Linked DNA regions of Elephas maximus indicus. The main gene of each other region encodes a partner of the protein of the gene in region 2 in a complex. Links are inferred from orthologs where the notes say so. Each region holds a gene or a part of one and is shown on either strand. Other genes may lie near its edges.

Evidence for each region.
Region 1: the proteins of MALT1 (region 2) and BCL10 are in contact, whole or in part, in a cryo-EM structure (PDB 6GK2), measured with the Homo sapiens proteins. The link is inferred for Elephas maximus indicus from reciprocal best matches to the Homo sapiens genes MALT1 and BCL10. Residues at the interface, in NP_006776.1 of Homo sapiens: Asp46, Gln47, Ala48, Pro49, Trp54, Arg55, Leu74, Glu75, Ser78, Leu79, Val81, Leu82, Glu83, Pro84, Glu85, Gly86, Pro88; in NP_003912.1 of Homo sapiens: Leu13, Lys17, Val83, Arg87, Asn93, Gln97, Thr100, Leu104, Arg107, Asn108, Leu111.

What each region holds. Positions count from the first base shown.
Region 1 is NC_064821.1:134,720,345-134,728,979, forward strand, and holds the start of BCL10 (B-cell lymphoma/leukemia 10), read right to left. Parts: upstream 4,063-8,635; 5' UTR 3,740-4,062; coding exon 3,683-3,739; intron 1-3,682. UniProt on the Homo sapiens protein: Plays a key role in both adaptive and innate immune signaling by bridging CARD domain-containing proteins to immune activation.
Region 2 is NC_064829.1:67,258,539-67,268,104, reverse strand, and holds the start of MALT1 (mucosa-associated lymphoid tissue lymphoma translocation protein 1), read right to left. Parts: upstream 3,576-9,566; 5' UTR 3,389-3,575; coding exon 3,162-3,388; intron 2,237-3,161; exon of another isoform or gene 2,134-2,236; intron 1-2,133. UniProt on the Homo sapiens protein: Protease that enhances BCL10-induced activation: acts via formation of CBM complexes that channel adaptive and innate immune signaling downstream of CARD domain-containing proteins (CARD9, CARD11 and CARD14) to activate NF-kappa-B and MAP kinase p38 pathways which stimulate expression of genes encoding pro-inflammatory cytokines and chemokines.

The DNA.
Region 1 (8,635 bases), on a different chromosome or scaffold from region 2:
CTAATCTGTGATTTGACATTTCCACTTACTAATCTAATTCCATTCTTCCTCAACTCCCACATTTAGTCAATCACCAAGTCCTATCATTTCTACTTCAAAAATGCATCTGGGACTCTCCTGCTCCATCCATCCCCACTGCCCTCACTCTGGTCCAAATCATGTCTCATCTATATAAAAGAGTCTCCTTACTGGTTTCCCTGTTCTCACTACTGCTCCCATCAGTTGATGACATAGGCAGAGGGATCTTTAAAAAATATAAAATCCTTCAATAGGTCCCCACTATACTTGGTATCACGGATTGAATTGTGTCCCCCCCAAAATGTGTGTCAACTTGGCTAGTCCATGGTTCCCAATATTGTGTGATTCCACCATTTGGCATCTGATGTGATTTTCCTGTGTGTTGTAAATCCAACCTCTATGATGTTAAAGAGGTGGGACTAGGGGCAATTATGTTAATGAGGCAGGACTCAATATACAAGATTAGGTTGTGTCTTAAATCAATCTCTTTTGTGACATAAAAGAGAGAAGTGAGCAGAGAGACATGGGGACCGCATACCACCAAGAAACAAGAGCCAGGAGAAGAGCGTGTCCTTTGGATCGGGGTCCCTGCACTGACAAGCTTCTAGTCCTGGGGACGACTGATGACAAGGACCTTCCTCCAGAGCTAACAGAGAGAAAAAGGCTTCCCCTGGAGCTGATGCCCTGAATTTGGACTGATGACAAGGACCTTCCTCCAGAGCTAACGGAGAGAAAAAGGCTTCCCCTGGAACTGGTGCCCTGAATTTGGACTTCTACCTTAAGACTGTGAAAGAACAAACTTGTTTGCCATCCACTTGTAGTACTTCTGTTATAGCAGCACTAGATAACTAAGAAAACAAACAAACAAAAAAACCAAACCCAGTGCCGTCGAGTCGAATCCGACTTATAGCGACCCTATAGGACAGGGTAGAACTGCCCCATAGTTTTCAAGGAGCGCCTGGCGGATTCAAACTGCTGACCCTTTGGTTAGCAGCCCTAGCACTTAACCACTATGCCATCAGGGTTTCTAAGACACTTGGGAAAAACCCAAATCCTTTACTACCTATCATCTTTAAAGTTCTTCATGACTTGGTTCATGCTCGCCTTCCTAACCTCACTTCAGGCTACCCTCTGCCTTCTCCCAATTTGCTGAAGTCACCAAGCTCTTGCCTATTTTAGGTCCTTTGTAAATTCTATTCTGCCTAGAATGCTCTTCCCTCAGCAGTGTTACATCCTTCAGGAATCACTTTAAGTGTAACTTTCTCTGATCATTCTATCTCAGGTACACTTCCCTGGTTATTATCTCAGCACTTGTCTCCTTCATAGTACTCATCGTAATTTGTAATTATACATATATTTGTTTTTAATCCTAATGACCTATAAGTTTGAACACACAAGAACCAGGTATGTTTTATTCAACACCGTATACCATGCACCTAGCAGAGTGCCAAGTAGACAGAATTTTAGATGAATGCAAAATTCATTGCACCTGTTGTATTATATCTCTCTTCGTTGCCCCAAGAAACTGAACTCTCTGTCGAAACAGGAGTGTGTCTTGGTTTTTATTTTTGAACTGTCAGAACCAACTATGTTATGAGCCTCACAAGTAACATGTAATTCATATTTATTAAACTGAGCTAAATTCAACCAAAAAGATGAGGTAAACAACTAGATTGGGGTGGAGGGAGTATAATGAAACAAGTGGGAGTTTCCAGGAGGATGGATGGGTACGCCATTCATGAAGACAGAGGATACAGCAGGAACAGCAAACAGCTTTGGAGGAACAATGATATAAAGTCCAATTTTAGACAAAGTGAGAAATATGCAGAATATAAAAGGAGATTCCAGTAGATATTTGATAATATGGGCCTAGAGGTGAAAGGGAAGCAAGTCCAAATATGTAGATGGTAATTATAAAACTTTTAAGGTCATAAACCCCATTTAAAAATATTACAGAAAAAAATCTCTACAAAAAAAAATGTGCACACACGCATTTTTTTCCGTAGACTTTGCAAAACCCATCCATGGTTTCACCAGGGTTATGAGTTTCTGATACAGATGTAAGCTGAAATAATGGAGATGGATAACATCAATGAATGAACACAGAAAACAAAAGCTTGGATGCCACTCTTCACATGTGTATTTGTGTACAGGTCTCATATCCTCCTACCTGTAACCTCTTAGAGCCTGTTTCATCACGTATAAAATGGGAATAACAATTATCTCCCTTAGAGGTTGTTATAAAGATTAAATGGGAGCTCTGGAAATTGTGTGGCACAGCATCTGGAACATAGGAAGTCTAGCTCTTGAAGAGGTTTTTCTTGACTAAGACGACATTCATTTATTCTATACCCGTTGCTGTTGAGTCAATTCCAACTCACAGCGACCTTAAAGGACAGAGTAGAACTGCCCCATAGGGTTTTGAAGGAGCAGCTGGTGGATTTGAACTGCCAACCTTGTGGTTAGCAACCAAGCTCTTAACCACTGTGCCACCAGGACTCTCATTTATTCTACAGTTGTCATCAGTGTCCCAGCCTTATCTCAACTAGACTGTAATGCAGGAACTTGACCTTCATTTCTGTATCCTTCCAGGGCTAAAACAGTACTTTGCACATCCTAAGTGCTCCATAAATATCTGCTGAATGAGGAAACTAAGGCACGAGTTCCAGTCATACAGTTTAATGTCCAGCTTCCTTTTGTTAATGAGTCATACCAGTTGTAATTACCAGTACAGTGTAATAACACCTACAGGGAAGGGAAAAGGGAGATAGTTGAAGCTGATGAACATTAAAAAAGCTCCTGTGTTTTCCAACTCCCAAAGATTATTTTTTAAGTACTGCAATGGCAAGTCAAAACACACTTCATGATGAGTTTGTTTTTCATATGAATTAATATAAAGTATTTTAGTGGTACTCATATGTCTCACATGGCAAAACAAGTAACTAAAATTAAAGGAAAAAGAGAAACAAATTATACGTCAACAAAGCCATGCTTTATAAATCAATATTAAGGCTTGTGCAATTCGGGAGCTACGATGCAGAAGAGCATAATTTAACTAGTGAATATTTCCAACATCTACCTGTAAATTAATTCTCAGCTGCAAGTACTCAATCCCACCCCCAATTTAAATATGTGGGCGTTCGCTTACTAGGGGAATTCCAGTTTGTTCTTTCAGCTGTTGAGCTTCCCCCAGTCCCTTTACAAGAGTTTCACATGTTCGCTCCACTGCTTGGGATCTGTTATGTGGTCAAGCTTTTGCTCTTGGCTGGGAGAGCAGCCTCAGTCTGACTCAGGGATGAACCTGAGCCATCGATGCTAACAACGCAGCTCCAAGAGTGCAAAGAGGGGATAACTGAGTGGGAATGGGTGAGGAGTGGGCCAGAAGCTGACCGCGAAGAAACGCTCCCCCGAACAAAGTTTGAGAAACTCAAGTCCCGTGTTTAGTGATTTTTAAAAGTAGATTAACAGCTCCCGAGGGATCACGTTCACCAAAGTCCCTCGGATGCAAGCCTCGGCGCGGTCCTCCAGTGATCAGACTTTCCGCTCCTCCAACCCGGAGGCTCCACCTCGTTCTCGGACTTGGGTTTCCGTTTCCCTCTCCCGAGGGGTCACAACCCGCCCCCGCCCACCCCCGGCAGCGGCTGGACAAGGTGGTGCTACTCACGTCCTTCTTCACTTCAGTCAGGTCCTCCTCGGTGAGGGACGGCGCGGTGGACTCCATAGCAAAGGCAGGAGATGGCGTTTCTTCCGGGTCTGGAGCTTGGGCCGCGCCACCCCGCCCAGCCTGGGGGATTTGGCCTCCGGGTCGGGGGGAAAGAAAGGGACGCAGAGCGGATGAGGAAGGGCTCCCCTCTTCGAAAACAAAGCGGCTCGGGGGTCGAACGTAGCGCTTTCCGGCTCCGCCTCTGAGGCCGACGGCGCTTCAGACTCCAACGCGTCGCAACGCCAAGGTGGGAGCCGAGTTCCTTTGCTCTCTGGGAGGCTTCAGCGCAGGCACCTCGGTGAGGCTGGTCCTTCGGTAGAGCCCGCCCCGTTACCGCTGCAGCCAATCAGTCGCAGGCTGCGGACCACTCCTGTTCCCGCCCCCTGGCTGGAGCCTTTCAATAGTAGCTCCGCCTTCAACAGGCGTCACCTCAGACCACGCCTCCGCAGGTCGTTTGCATGTGGCCGCGGGTTGGCCTTCCTATAAGGAATCGTTTCCGGGGGTGGAGCACATCGCTGCTCAGCCGACCGGCATGCCGCACCTTCACGAACTGCCAGTTTTGCAGGAGTCCGGTGCAGTGTCGGCTGTACTTTTGGGTACCTCCCCTTTTCCCAGACTCCGTCATAACAATTTCCGGTTGCTGGGTTTGCCCGCCTAAGTTTTTTAATTACCTGGCAACATACACACACACAGCGTAAATGCAATATTAAATATTTGAAAGAGAAAAACCACCATCTGCAGTCCCGCCACTTAAACACGCAATTTAACGTTGACATACTTTTTTAGTCGCTATTCATAAACATTTTTCTTCGTAGATTAATCTGTTGAACGGAGATATACCTGCCTCATAGGGCTGCTGTGAGAATTAAATGATATAGGAAAGGCTTCAAACTGGTTCTAACTGGTTCTGTCATGGCTAATGAAGCAAAATGGGAACAGACTTGAATTTTTAAATTTTGAGTGATTCGGAACCATAACCACAATGGGAAGAATTATGGGTCAAAGCCCTGGAATGGGACACTTGGTAGAGGTGTAGTGAGCCCTTTCAGGAGCATAATGTGTGAAATGGAGTTATTACTAGGACTGAAGAGAGCGACACACAGTTCAAGGCAGTGTGGTTGGCTGCCATCTTTGAGCGGGGCAGCACTATTATGACTGCGCAAAAATCTGAAGGGCAAGAGATGTGGTTGCTGTGCAACACATATGCTGCCCCTGTTTTCTTAAGAGGGAGATTAAGTTTCTAGCAGGGCTTAAATTTGTAATTTTTCCCATTTTGGTTTACCCAATTTTTAAGAATTTGGTCTGTTCCCATGTGCCGCCTTCTGCCATGATTGAGCAGTGAAGAACCGGTTCAAAGCCCTGGGTATAAGTAAGGCTCTTAGATGTACCTTGCACACATAAGCACTCAATTTATTAGTATTATCTTCTATTACTCAAACATTTATTGAGTCCTTACTAATATATTCCAGGCATCTCCTTCTGTAAGAGTTCTCCCATTTTATTGGGGGATACTGATTTCCCCCCTCAGTCTCTGTCCTATTCTGCTCTAATAGTCCAGGACAACTATTCCCAGAATGGTGTTCTAATAACAGAGGTTTATACAAAGCAACAGAGTCCTTAGGTAGTGCAGTAAATGTGCTTGGGTGGGTGGTTCAAATTCACCAGCCACTCCATAGGAGAAAGATGTGGCAGTCTGCTTCTGTAAAGATTACAGCCTAGGAAATCGTATGGGGCAGTTCTATAGGGTTGGTATGAGTCAGAATCAACTCCATGGCAATGGGTTTGGTTTTGGTTTGGAATCTTTACAGAAGCAGACTGCCACATCTTTTTCCCATGGAGCAGCTGGTGGGATTGAGCAGCCAACCTTTTGGTTAGAAGCCCAGCACTTAACCACTGTGCTACCACTGCTCCTTTAGAATATTAGATGACGAGTGCTAAGAGAAAAAATAAAGCAGAGAATCAGGAAAAGGCTGTATGGAGTGGGAGGGTAAAATTTAAAATAGGGTGGTCAATGAAGACCTCACTGAGACCGTGAGATTTGATTTACGACATGAAAGAGTAAGCCATTTGGGCATCTGGAGAAAACCTTATGAGTAGAGTGAACAGCCAAGGAAGAGGCTCCATTGTGGCTGGGATGGAGTGAGTTAGGGGTGCAGAGAAGGAGGTGAGGTCCCTATATGGCTTTGTGAGAATTTACTCTGACTTTGCTCTGAGTCATATGCGTTTACTCTGAGTCAGACGAGAAGCCACTGGAGGGCTCTGAGCAGAGGATTTGAAAAGGAACACTTTCACTGTTGTGCTAATCAAGTGGAAGGTGGAAGAAGGGAGGCCAGTTAAGGCCTATTGCCATAACCCAGGTCCCATAAGGTGGTGGCTCAGACCAGTGTGGTAGCAGTGTGAATGGCGAGAACATTCTGAAAAGAAGGTGGGAAGTGACTTGATTTCATTCTGAAAGGATCAGTCTGCCTGCTGAGTAGACTGTAGGATCAAGGACAGAAGCAGAGAGACAAGCTAAATGCTCCTGCAGTGATCCAGGCAAACATGAGGGTGTCGTGATCAGAGTGGGAGCAATGGTATACACTTCCCCATTGTTACCTTAATGCTGGTCCCAAATTATCATTGCTATAAAAAATTTGTCCAGGCAGACGGGAAGGTGGGAGAGGAGAAGCGGGAGAATCCGCAACGAGCTGGAGCCGTCAGAGTAATGGAGGGGAAATTTCGGGTCACAGCGCTGAGAAACAATCAGCTGAAGAAGAAGCTGGAGATTTCCCAAACAAAGCCTACAAAGATCTCCAAGTTTGGATTTGCCATAGGTAGTCAGATGACAAAGAAAGCATCAGCCATATCCATCAAACTTGGATCAAGTAAGCCTTAAGAAACAGTTCCAACTCTTGCTCCAAAAACCTTTCAATAGCAGCAGCTTTTAATGAAGACGAAGGTAGTGAACCAGAGGAAATGCCTCCAGAAGCAAAGTTGAGGATGAAGAAAATTGGAATGGATACACCAACATCAGCAGGACCAAACTCCTTCAACAAAGGAAAGCATGGGTTTTCGGATAACCAGAAGCTATGGGAGTGAAATATAAAATCTCTTCTTGGAAATGTCCATGACCAATACAATAAAATGATGTGTTTTGTGATTGGGGTGTGGGGTGGGTGTAAAGTTAAAATGAACAGTTTCCTTTTTTAAAGAATGGTATAAAACTATCTTTGGAGCCACTTTTTTTTTTTTTTTAAGATTGATATATTAAATGAGAGTTTGAAATTAGAGGTAATTTATGTTTTATATACAGATTTCAAGACATTTGCTAATTTTGTAGTTTCATATGATTAGTTTCCAAATGTTACAGATAATAAATCAGAAATGATACCTTTTTAAGATTTGCATATTTTTTTTAAACACAACTATCAGTACATTGAGAGGGAAGCAAAAGTTCCTGTCTATTTAAACTGGTTCAAAATGCCAGCAACTACCCTCTAGCTTAACTCCCCCATTATATGACCTGTATGGCTCCTGGGAACAGCCTTATAGAAAGGGAGTATCATATTGGGAAGAAAAATGTTACTGGACTATTGACTGAAAATAAATTTAGATAAAATTAAATACAGCTGTTTTTCTCATGGGCATTTGTTTTGTTTCAAGTCATAAAGCAGTTTTTGCCTTGCTATCAGTAGATACAAATGCTTAGCTCTTTAAAAGTAGCCTTTTTTTGAAATTTTATGTAAAATGTTGAATTTTTGTAATGGCTCACTTCACCTTAATGGGTCTTGTCTACCTTCACTTGTCTTCAAAGAACAACCATTTCCTACCAAAGTAAATCAGTATTTTGAATGTGCTTCTAATTTTTCTCTTGGTTTTTGTTACGTGCTAGTTCCTGAAATTGTTTCCGCCAGACCTCGAGGCAGCTGTTTCTTTTAAAGTACAAACCACCACCAAAAAATTTAAATGTGCATATTGCTTAAATATTTGGCTGTTTTTATATCTTAAAAGGTATGAACACCCAAAAAAGAAAATACCGTATGAAGGTGAGAAGTGAGAAGATGCACTGTCTATACTTTGTTGAAGCATTTAAGTTACTAATTTGCTAAATACAATTTGAATCGCCCTTACTATAGGAGTTCTTACTAATAGAATACTATGGTTTATTTTAAGCGTGTGTGTATTGACCGGTGGCCTCTCAAAAGCGCATTTTAGATACTAAAAATTTGTAGGAAAGAAAATGCATCTTCAAATAATTTATGGAATCTCTGACCATATATACTTGGTTCCGTGTGTTGTGGGGTTTAGGGTGGTATTTTCTTTTTTTTTGTATTGTATATGAACTTTTTTTTCCTTAATGTGACAGTTAAACACATCTTTAAAAGCATAGTCACAAACAAAAGAAACAAAATGTAACGATTTACTCGAAAAGTTCCTACTATGTTAAATTTGGAGGACATGTCAGACTATTTTATTGGTAGTGTCTTAGGCTGGGTTCTCTAGAGAAGCAAAACCGGTAAACATATAAATATATAGAGAGAGAGATTTATATCAAAGAAACGGTTCATGTGGTTGTAGAGACTGGAACATTCCAAGTCTGTGGATCAGGATAGAGGCTTGTCCTCATTCATTTAGCTGCAGGGGCTGGTGAACCCAAGGTCGGCAGGTTGGAGAGCAGGGCTCTTGCTCACAGTCTGTGAAGACTGCTGAATCTCAGGAGATAACCTGCTAGCTCAAGTCCCAAAAACTGGAGCTCAGATGAACTGGAGCCAGCTGCAGGACCCAGAGCAGGCAAAAACCAGAACGTATGCTTATATTCGGATGCAGGCCACACACCCAAGGACACTCCCTTTTAACTGATTGGCTACTCATAGCAGATCCCATCATGGAAGTGATCACATATAAACACTGAGACAATCATGACGCAGCCAAGGT
Region 2 (9,566 bases):
GGAAAGGGTATTCAATAGTAGACCAGTCTGGTACAGAATTAGGTCTGGGCACGTATTAAGGGCAGATGGTACACATCAATAACCATCTGAAAATATTTAAAATTATTCCTAATGCCTGATGAGTGGTTCTAAAAGGACTCTATTTTCTGATGGTTTTTTCCTTCTTTTTAAAATTAAATTCTTTTCTGGTTTGAGGAAAGATGTAAAGAGTCTGGAAAAAAGTGGAAGAGAGAGAAGAAAAAAGAAACCTTTGGAGATTTTTGGCCTGTGAATCTAGGACCACTGATGGAAACAATTTATATCCTCATGGGACTTTTTATCCATTTGGGCTGGATTTACACAGGACAATCCCTACGTCTGATACTAGAGAAAAGTACCATTAGCATCCTCTGCTATCATAGCTGCCCTTCTCCCAATGCTAACTTTTTATCTAAGTTTAATTCTTTCTGCTCACTCTAGGCCTCAGACTACGTGGATCTTCTCTGACCCCAAAAGGTGTATGAACTAAATGATCCCAAACTCTCCAAACTTCAGACCCCCAAAGTTTACACATTTGGAAATTTACGAACCTAGAAAAATACCATTTTGGATTTTCTTTGCTCGCTGAAAAGCTCAATGATGTTTTCCCTAGAGCAGAAAAAATGCTGCCTGCTCAAATTTTGCAAGTTTACCACTTCTTGTTTCTCTCATCTTTACATGCAAATAATCCTAAATCATCATTTCTCTTTGCCTTAACCTCATTTTCTCGGAAAACTGTGTTGTTGTGAGGATTAACGTAAATGATGCATGGAAACAGTACATTGTCTGGTATAAGCTAAGTGCTCAATAAATGACAAAAAAAAATTACTGCTGTTATTATTACACATCTTTACTACATAACATTTAACATGTTATTTGTGAATGTCCTAGAATAATGTCCATTATCAGTTAAGCCCTTGTGACTAGGAGCTAAATAGATGTCATTTTTTTATCTTCTCAAACTTCTGGCAAATAATAGGCAAGTAAGTGTAACTTTGAATGAATGATTCCCCCTCTCAATTCAACAAATATTTATTGACTATTAAGACAGGTTCTATGCAGGTCATGGAAGCTCCATAAACATATCCAAACTCCCCGAGGGACCAAATTACTGGGCTGAGGGCTGGGGGCCATGGTCTCAGGGAACACTTAGTTCAACTGGCATAACACAGTTTCGAAAGAAAATGTTCTATATCCTACTTTGGTGAGTAGCATCTGGGTCTTAAAAGCTTGTAATACTCCACTAGTCTCACCCCATCTGGAGCAAGAGAGAATGAAGAAAACTAAAGACACAAGGGAAAGATTAGTCCAAAGGACTAATGGACCACAAATACTACAGCCTCCACTAGACTGTGTCCAGCACAACTAGATGGTGCTCAGCTACCACCATTGACGGCTTGGACAGACATCACAATAGAGGGTCCGGGACAGAGCTGGAGAAAAATGTAGAACAAAATTCTAACTCATTAAAAAAAAAAAAAAAAAAAGACAAGACCAGACTTACTGGTCTGACAGAGACTGGAGAAACCCCAAGAGTATGGCCCTCCAGACTCCCTTTTAACTCTGTACTGAAGTCACTCCTGAGGTTCACCTTTCAGCCAAAGATGAGACAGGCCCAAAAAACAAATGAGACTAAATGGGCATATCAGCCCAGGGGGAAGGAGGAGAAGGCAGAAGGGGACAGGAAAACTGGTAATGGAGAACCCAACGCTGAGAAGGGGAGAGTGTTAACGTGTCGTGGGGTTGGCAACCGATGTCACAAAACAATATGTGTATTAATTGCTTAATGAGAAAGTAATTTGCTCTGTAAACCTTCATCTAAAGTACAATAAAAAAAAAAGGTTCTATGAATAACTAAAAGAATATTAAAAGATGGTGCCTGCTCTCAAGGAGTTTACAAAGATATGTACAAATTATAGTACAAGATAACATTTAGTCATATGAGAATTTAAAAAAACTGGTAAGGAGTTAAAAGATAGACCAAAATCAGAATAATGTATATTGTAGTAGTTCTCAAAGCATGGTCTGAGAATGCTTATTGGGGTTCTTGAGACCCTTCCAGGGGGTCTGCAAGGCCAAAATGACTTTTCATAGTAATACTAAGACATTATTTACCTTTTTCATTCATTCTTTCAGGAGAGACCTGTGACACTGCAACAAACTCAATGCAAAAGCGGACAGAAAGAATCCAGCTGTCTGCGATTAAGCCAAGACATTAGTGAGCATTTCAAAATGTAAAATAAATCCACTCCTCTAATTTTTTTGGTTCGTTTTACAAAAGTCTGTGTTGTCACAAAAAACGTTATTTCTGTTAAGATGTAGGGTTAGTATGATTGTTAAACAAATATTTTTAAAAGTCTTAGTTTTAATTTTTAATATGGTAAACGTCAATATACATTATATGTAATACATAACCCACATAAACAAAAACCCTTTGGCAAATCTCAATAATCCTTAAAAGAGTAAAGGCGTCCCGACGCCAAAAAGTTCAAGAATCCCTAGTACAGTGGTTCCAAACCGGGTAACAAGGAAAACAGCTTTACTTATAATGTTCACGGAGAAGACAAGAAGAGAACTCCGTTTCAGTCTTTCCCACCATTCTTCTCTACCTACATAAAACCCATGGATTCTTGTGCCTCAAATCCTCTGCTTTCATTACCTCTCTAGCTGCACGTCTCCGTCTCCCTCCCAACCTTCCTTAGGTCTTCTAGGTGCGCGTCAATATCCCTTTCTTTTGTATCTTAAGTCGTCTGGAATTGCCAACTGCCATATCATAACTAGCTTTCCTTCTCTGTATCCTCTTATTGGCCCTCCACGTCCCTCTTTCAGATCAAGGGAGGGCAGGAAAAGGGTGGGAAACATCTCCATTCCACAGCCTCCAAACTCTCGCATTCCCAGGACCTTCCTAGGTCCAGGAGGCTCTCTCTAAACGATGACTTAAGCCCTCCCCACATCCTTCCCCACCAGCGGTCCCCCAACTTGGTTGGTCCCCGACGGGTTTCCAGCCGCGGGCACAGCAGTGTCACTGCTTCCACTTTGCAGTCTCAAGTCGATCGCCCCAGGACCCCTCCGCGCCCACGTGACGCCGACCCCGCCCTGTTACCTCCCCTCCCCCACAGCGCCCCCGGCCCACGCCGCCTCACCTGAGCCGGAGGCGCCCCCGACTCCCCGCCACCTCAGCCAGCCTCCTCCAGCCCCGGCCTTCCGGCGCCCGGTCCAAGGTCTCGCTGAGTCTCCGCAGCAGCGGCTCCCGTAGGCGGTTGAGGGTCGCGCTGGCCGGAGGGGGTGGCGGCGGCCCTGCGGGCGCGGTCGGGGGCGGGTGTGAGGCCGAGGGTGGCGGGGCCTGCAGCGGCTCCCCCCAGAGCGACATGTCCCGCGCCGGCGACTCTGCGCCGGCCGGGCCGCGGGCCTCGGCTTCAGCGCACCTTCTGCTTTCCCCGTCGCTCGCCCCGCAGTCGCGGAGGCACGGGCGGAAGGACAAATGGGGCGGCAACACCGTGCTGGTAGGAGGAAGCTCAGCTCCCCTCCCTGCTAAGACAGGTTTGTCTGGGCGCCCGGCCGGCCGGCCGCGCTGAGCGCGCCGAGGGGCGGGACCTAGGGGGGGCGGGGCTAGGGGGCGGGGCCCAGGGAGGCGGGGCCTGGGCGGGGCCGGAGCCCTCGGACCGGGAAGCTCCGTTCTCCGCCCCATTGAGACCGGTTCGGAGGGTATCCCGCGGTCCGACCCCGCTGGGCGAGCCTAGGGGCGGGGCCTGGGCCGGGCCTTGGGGGCGGGGCCGGACCACCTCTGCGCGTGCGTGCGGCCGACACCTTCCACCGCCTCCCGCGTAGTCTCGGGCTTCATGGTGGCGCGCGCTTCAAATCTGGGAGGTGGCGTCCTCGTTATACAGGAAGGGTCGGGTAATTGCAGCTGGAGGAGGAGGCGGTGGAGGATCTACGCCTCGGCGGCTCCACTGTGGCGAGGAAGCCTGCGGTGTCGGGGCTTCCCGAGACGGTGGGAGGAAGATTGCTTCACGCCGAGAAGTCATTCACCGAAGAGGGGAGCACGCGGTTCCCCATCGCCGGCCCCGCAGCTGCTCCAGGGTCGCTCGCAGTTGACCCCGTGACTTGCGTGTGCCCAGCGACTCCCCCAGCGCTCGCATCGGGCAACCTCAGTGTAGGCTTCCTCGTAGAACTGGATGTGGTATCGCATTGCTAAGGGGAAGTAGTGGTAGAAATCCAAACGTTTACATTAGAGTTGGCCGAAATCAGTGCATGGACTTTTTTTTTTTTTTTTCGTAAAACAGGGTAGTGATGGATTCGAACCTGATCAGATCCTGAAAACGATTGTTATCAGCACAAGATCGTTTGGTTTTCCCGACGTCAGATTACCACCTGCAGCCTTCAGAATCAAAGCAGGCAACGAACGTATATGGTTCCTCTTCCTGGAGTGACCCAGAATAGAATACATGGAGTAATAAACAGGGACTACATTTGAACTCTCTTCTAGTCTTAACAATATTCATTATCCTACTGAAAACCAGGGAAGTTTGGGACAAAAGCATGCAAATGACTTAAGAAGTGTGACCAGCCAGGCACCTCCCAAACACAAAGCTTCCTGGCTCAGCTTCTGGTGCCACTAACTTTTTAATCACCCTAGGAATCAGGGTTTCTCTGTAGCAAAAACTTGGACCCAAATTTTCACTTCCTGTTGGCCAGGTATTTGTTCCATATGGCCTCCACTGCATTGTCGGACAACATGCAGTCTCTTGACAAGTTCAGAATACAGTATAATGGCAATGAGCCTGACCTTTGGATCCAAAAAGATGTGCTGGGTTCTAGTTTTATGACCTTCAGTAAGTTGCTTAAGTACCTGCCTCATTTACTAAGTGCCTGGCACATAGTAAAACCAAAAAAAAAAAAAAAAATGCCTGTTGCCATCAAGTCAATTCCAACTCATAGTGACCCTATATCAAAACCAAACCCAGTGCCATGGAGTCAGTTCCAACTCATAGCGACGCTACAGGACAGAGTAGAACTGCCCTGTAGAGTTTCCACGGAGCGCCTGGCAGATTTGAACTGCCGACCTATTGGTTAGCAGCCGTAGCACTTAACCACTACACCACCAAGGTTTCCTAGTGACCCTATAGGACAGAGTAAAACTGCCCCATAGGGTTTCCAAGGAGCACCTGGTGCATTTGAACTGCCAATCTTTTGGTTAGCAGCCATAGCTCTTAACCACTACATCACCAGGGTTTCTTGGCACGTAGTAGGTACTCAATTTTTTTTTAGCAATTATATTTACATTACAAATACAAAGGCTTGTTTCATACTCAGCTTGATTTGGCAAACCTTTCCCAATAACTTCTAGTACCCTCCTGTTTTGCCCTCAGTCATTCAACAAATATTTTCTGGTAGCCTGCACGTGCCACTTACGGAAGTCAAATCTTCTAGTCATTATTGGAATGCTACCTTTTAATATTTAGATTCAACAAACTTTTTTTTTTTTTTAAGTCTACTATGTGCAAGATGGAGCCCTGGGGGCACCAGTGGTTAAGCGTTCTGCCTCTAACAAAAAGGTCGGCAGTTTGAATCCACCAGCTACTCCTTAGAAACCCTATGGGGCAGTTCTACTCTGTCCTGTAGGGTCGCTATGAGTTGGAATCAACATGTCAGCAGCAGGTTTGGTTTTGGTTTATATGCGAGATATGTGATCAGGAGGGACCAGTCCCTGGAGAAGGACATGCTCAGTAAAGTAGAGGGTCACCGAAAAAGATGAAGACCCTCAATGAGACGGATTGACATAGCAGCTGCAACAATGGGTTCAAGCATAACCACGATCATGAGGACGGTGCAGGACCCGGCAGTGTTGCGTTGTACATAAGGTCTCCATGAGCCGGAGCTAACTCAACGGTGCCTACCAACAAGAATGGCAACCCTTGTGAGATGTTGCTGATGCAGCTTCTCATGTGCGTATGGGTTGAAATGGGTACGTGTAAGGGGAAACCTGTAAGACCTGGAACTCAGTGGGACTGGCTTGTTTTTTCAGGTCTCAAAAACATCACACCTTTGACAGAGTGTAGTCATACCACTTTTCTATCGCTCCTTTTAGTGGAAAATATTTGAGTTTTCCTTCTCTGGCAGGTTTCTGCCTTACACAGGTTCTGGCTTTCACAGGTTTTAGTGTATTACTTACTCTGAAAATATCCTTCCTAATTTGATAAGGTACTTCCTTGCTACTTCACCCTTTCTCTTGCTGCTCTTAGCTGCCCATCCATGCGACTCCATGTGTGTCAGAGTATGACTGTGCTGCAGAGGGTTGTCAAGGCTGTGGCCTTTCAGAAACATCGCCAGGCCTTTCTTCTGAGGCACCTCTGGGTGGACTTGATCCTCTAACCTTTTGCTCAGCAGCCAAGCACGTTAACTCTTTGCAAGTACTCTCAAAATTGCCACATGAATTCTGGGAACAAATCTCTCTTGGAACAACATAATAAGCAGTAATTCAGCTTCCTTTTCAATCTCGACCATTATATAAAGGTAGGAGGAGAATCGAGGGTGGAGATGTGGCTTTTAAGTGCTACTTAAAAGTTTATGCATGTCTATGGATAATATTCTCAGGAATTTTTCCTCATTCATGGAAAGTGACGTTAGACTTTGAGAATCCAGACAATTTGTAGGAACTTCATGCATTGTTCCATTCTTTGAAAATCCATTGATGTAATCTTCCAAACTCTTACAGATCTGGAAACTGACTCATAGATTATTTTTGTTTTTTACGCAATTCGACTATGGACGGTACGCAAATGGAAAATGCCAAAACATCGTATTATTTCATTATCTGGTCAGGATTTAAAAGACTCAGCGCAGGAGAAATGCTGCAGGTCCTTAGATTTGTGCACAATGGATTGAAAGGAGTTATGTGACCTAAATGGCATCATTGTCTCCCGTCTCTTATCCCATGCCCAATGTGACCTCTCTGACTCAGCCAGATACAAGGCTCTCCACATCCACTGCAACCCACCTCACTGCTATGTCCCAAAGGATTAGGGGGATTTTGATTTCAACCTTGGAACAACCGAGTGTAACATGAGTATTCCACACCCTTCCTTCATGATGATACAGGCCTAAGTACTCGATTACATTACAAAGACTACATTTACTTGTTTAAATTCATTCATTCATTTAACAATATTTATTGGGTGCCTACCTTGTGCCAGGCTCTGTGCCAAATACTCTTAAAGGATAAGTATTTTAAAAGGTAAAATTGTAATTATCAATGAATATATAATGGACACGCGTCAAAGATTTTATTTAGCCCTTTAATTAAAGAAGGTGTCAGACAAGTGTTACAACCAGTTCAAAGGAGAATCCAAAGACCAGATAAATATATAAGCCCATCAAGGATGCTGAAATGAATCTGCTTAATAGATGCAGGGAAACCCTAGTGGTGTAGTGGTTAAGAGCTACAGCTGCTAACCAAAAGGTCAGCAGTTTGAATCTACCACATGCTCCTTGGAAACACTATGGGGCAGTTCTACGCTGTCCTGTATGGTTGCTATGAGTTGGAATGGACTCGACTGCAATGGGTCTTTTTTTTTTAAAAGATGCAAAACTGGCTTCTCCCACAGTGGAGGAGGGAAGTCAATCAGACTTTTACTAAACACAAGTTATTTATTTATAAACAAGACTTATTTACATTACTGTCAGTTTCCTACCAGTTAACTTCTGTCTCTTCACAGTTGTACATAGCCTAGTCAAAGACAATGAAAGGTGAAGATAACCCAGTTGTATGAGCCAGTTAGAATACCCACTGCATTTCAGGCTTCCTTAATTTTTTCTTACAGTGCTGAGGGTACCAAACCTGTTCCCGTCAGTTGGTTCCGACTCATAGTGGCCCTATAGGACAGAGTAGCATTGCCCTATAGAGTTTCCGAGGAGTGGCCGATGGATTCAAACTGCTGACCTTTTGGTTAGCAGCTGAGCCCTTAACCACTGTGCCACCAGGGCTCTGCTGAGGGTACAGTGTTGACTAAATTCAATCTCTTGGAAAGGAAAGGGAGTGGCGAGTACTCTGTTGGAGGCAAGAAAGGAGGGATGTGAAATACAGAGGAGAGCCTGTCCTTCCATGTGGGGAGGGGAGGAATGGCAGGGAAAAATGAGGAGATGGTTTAGAAAACAGGGTAGAAGGAATACCATGTGTAAAGATAAAGTCATATGTAAAGCCATAAAATATCACAGCAAGGCTGGAGAACTGCAGTTGGTTCAGCAGAGTTGGGGAAACATGTAAGAGAGGGACAGAGACCAAGACTGAAAAGGAAGTGAAGACTAGATTGTGTGATGTCCAAGGAGTGAGCTTTTGTGCTGTAGTTCTGTGCCTTTTGCAGGGTAGTATGTGCCCCACTGATGTTATACAAGATGATTTTAAGTGGCCCATATTTTAATTTAAGTAGTTATGTATTAATATATTTTAGAAAAATATCTGCCAATCAAAGTTGTCATTTTGCTAACAGGATTGATTGGGACAATGCTACATTTTTTATTTAAGTAAAAAATGTGATTTTGTTTAAAAAACTATATCACATATCCAATGTACAGGTAGGTATGTGGATATGTCAAAATCCCTAAACTGGTTAAGTGTTTGAAGTGTAAGAAACCCTGGTGTAGGTGATGGGAAGTAACTGAGATATTTTAAACAGATTTTCAAAAACTGACTTGGGCAGCAACGTAGGGAGGGGCAAAACTGGAGGTTCAGGAAGTGTTGCAGTAGTACAGGTTAGAAATGAAGACATTAGCTAAGAGCCATGATATAAGGCTTAGAGAGGAAGAACACATTCAGGAGATGTTTGGGATTACGTTTTACTACTCCATAATAGTGCCAGGTTGCATGAATCACTATGCTTTAAAGAGTCTTGTTCAAACATTCAATGTATCATTCATAAGTTGTACTCAGCAAGAAATGAAACAAGCCTTTCTAGTGCATGGAGTATTGTGCGAAGTACAGAAGACAGGGCAAAAGGTTTTAGAAGATTTAGCCCTGTTGTTGAATGAGTAAACCTGAAAGGTGGAGATGATAAATGATTCCTAAGAGAAGAATTGTAAAAATATATATCATTAGCAGGTTCTCTGTGATACACCATTAAATAAAATGGGATATAAATAACAGCATTCAGAATAAGTAGACCTCTTCCGAAAAGGCTTCCTATGGACGTGAGTTTAGAGCTGGATCTTAAAGGATAGGACAGATGTTACAAGTGGGAGAAATGAGAAGGGTTAACATCCAACAAGCTGAACTATACAAAGAAGAATGAGGTATTAGGATTGGAGGAAGACTCATTAACAACCTCTGATATGCAGATGACAATATCCTTGTTTGCTGAAAGTGAAGAGGACTTGAAGCACTTACTCATGAAGATCAAAGACGATAGCCTTCAATATGAATTATGTCTCAACATAAAGAAAACAAATCTTCACAACTGGACCAATAAGCAACATCATGATAAACGAAGAAAATATTGAAGTTGTCAAGGATTTCATTTTACTTGGATTCACAATCATTGCCCGTGAAAGCAGCA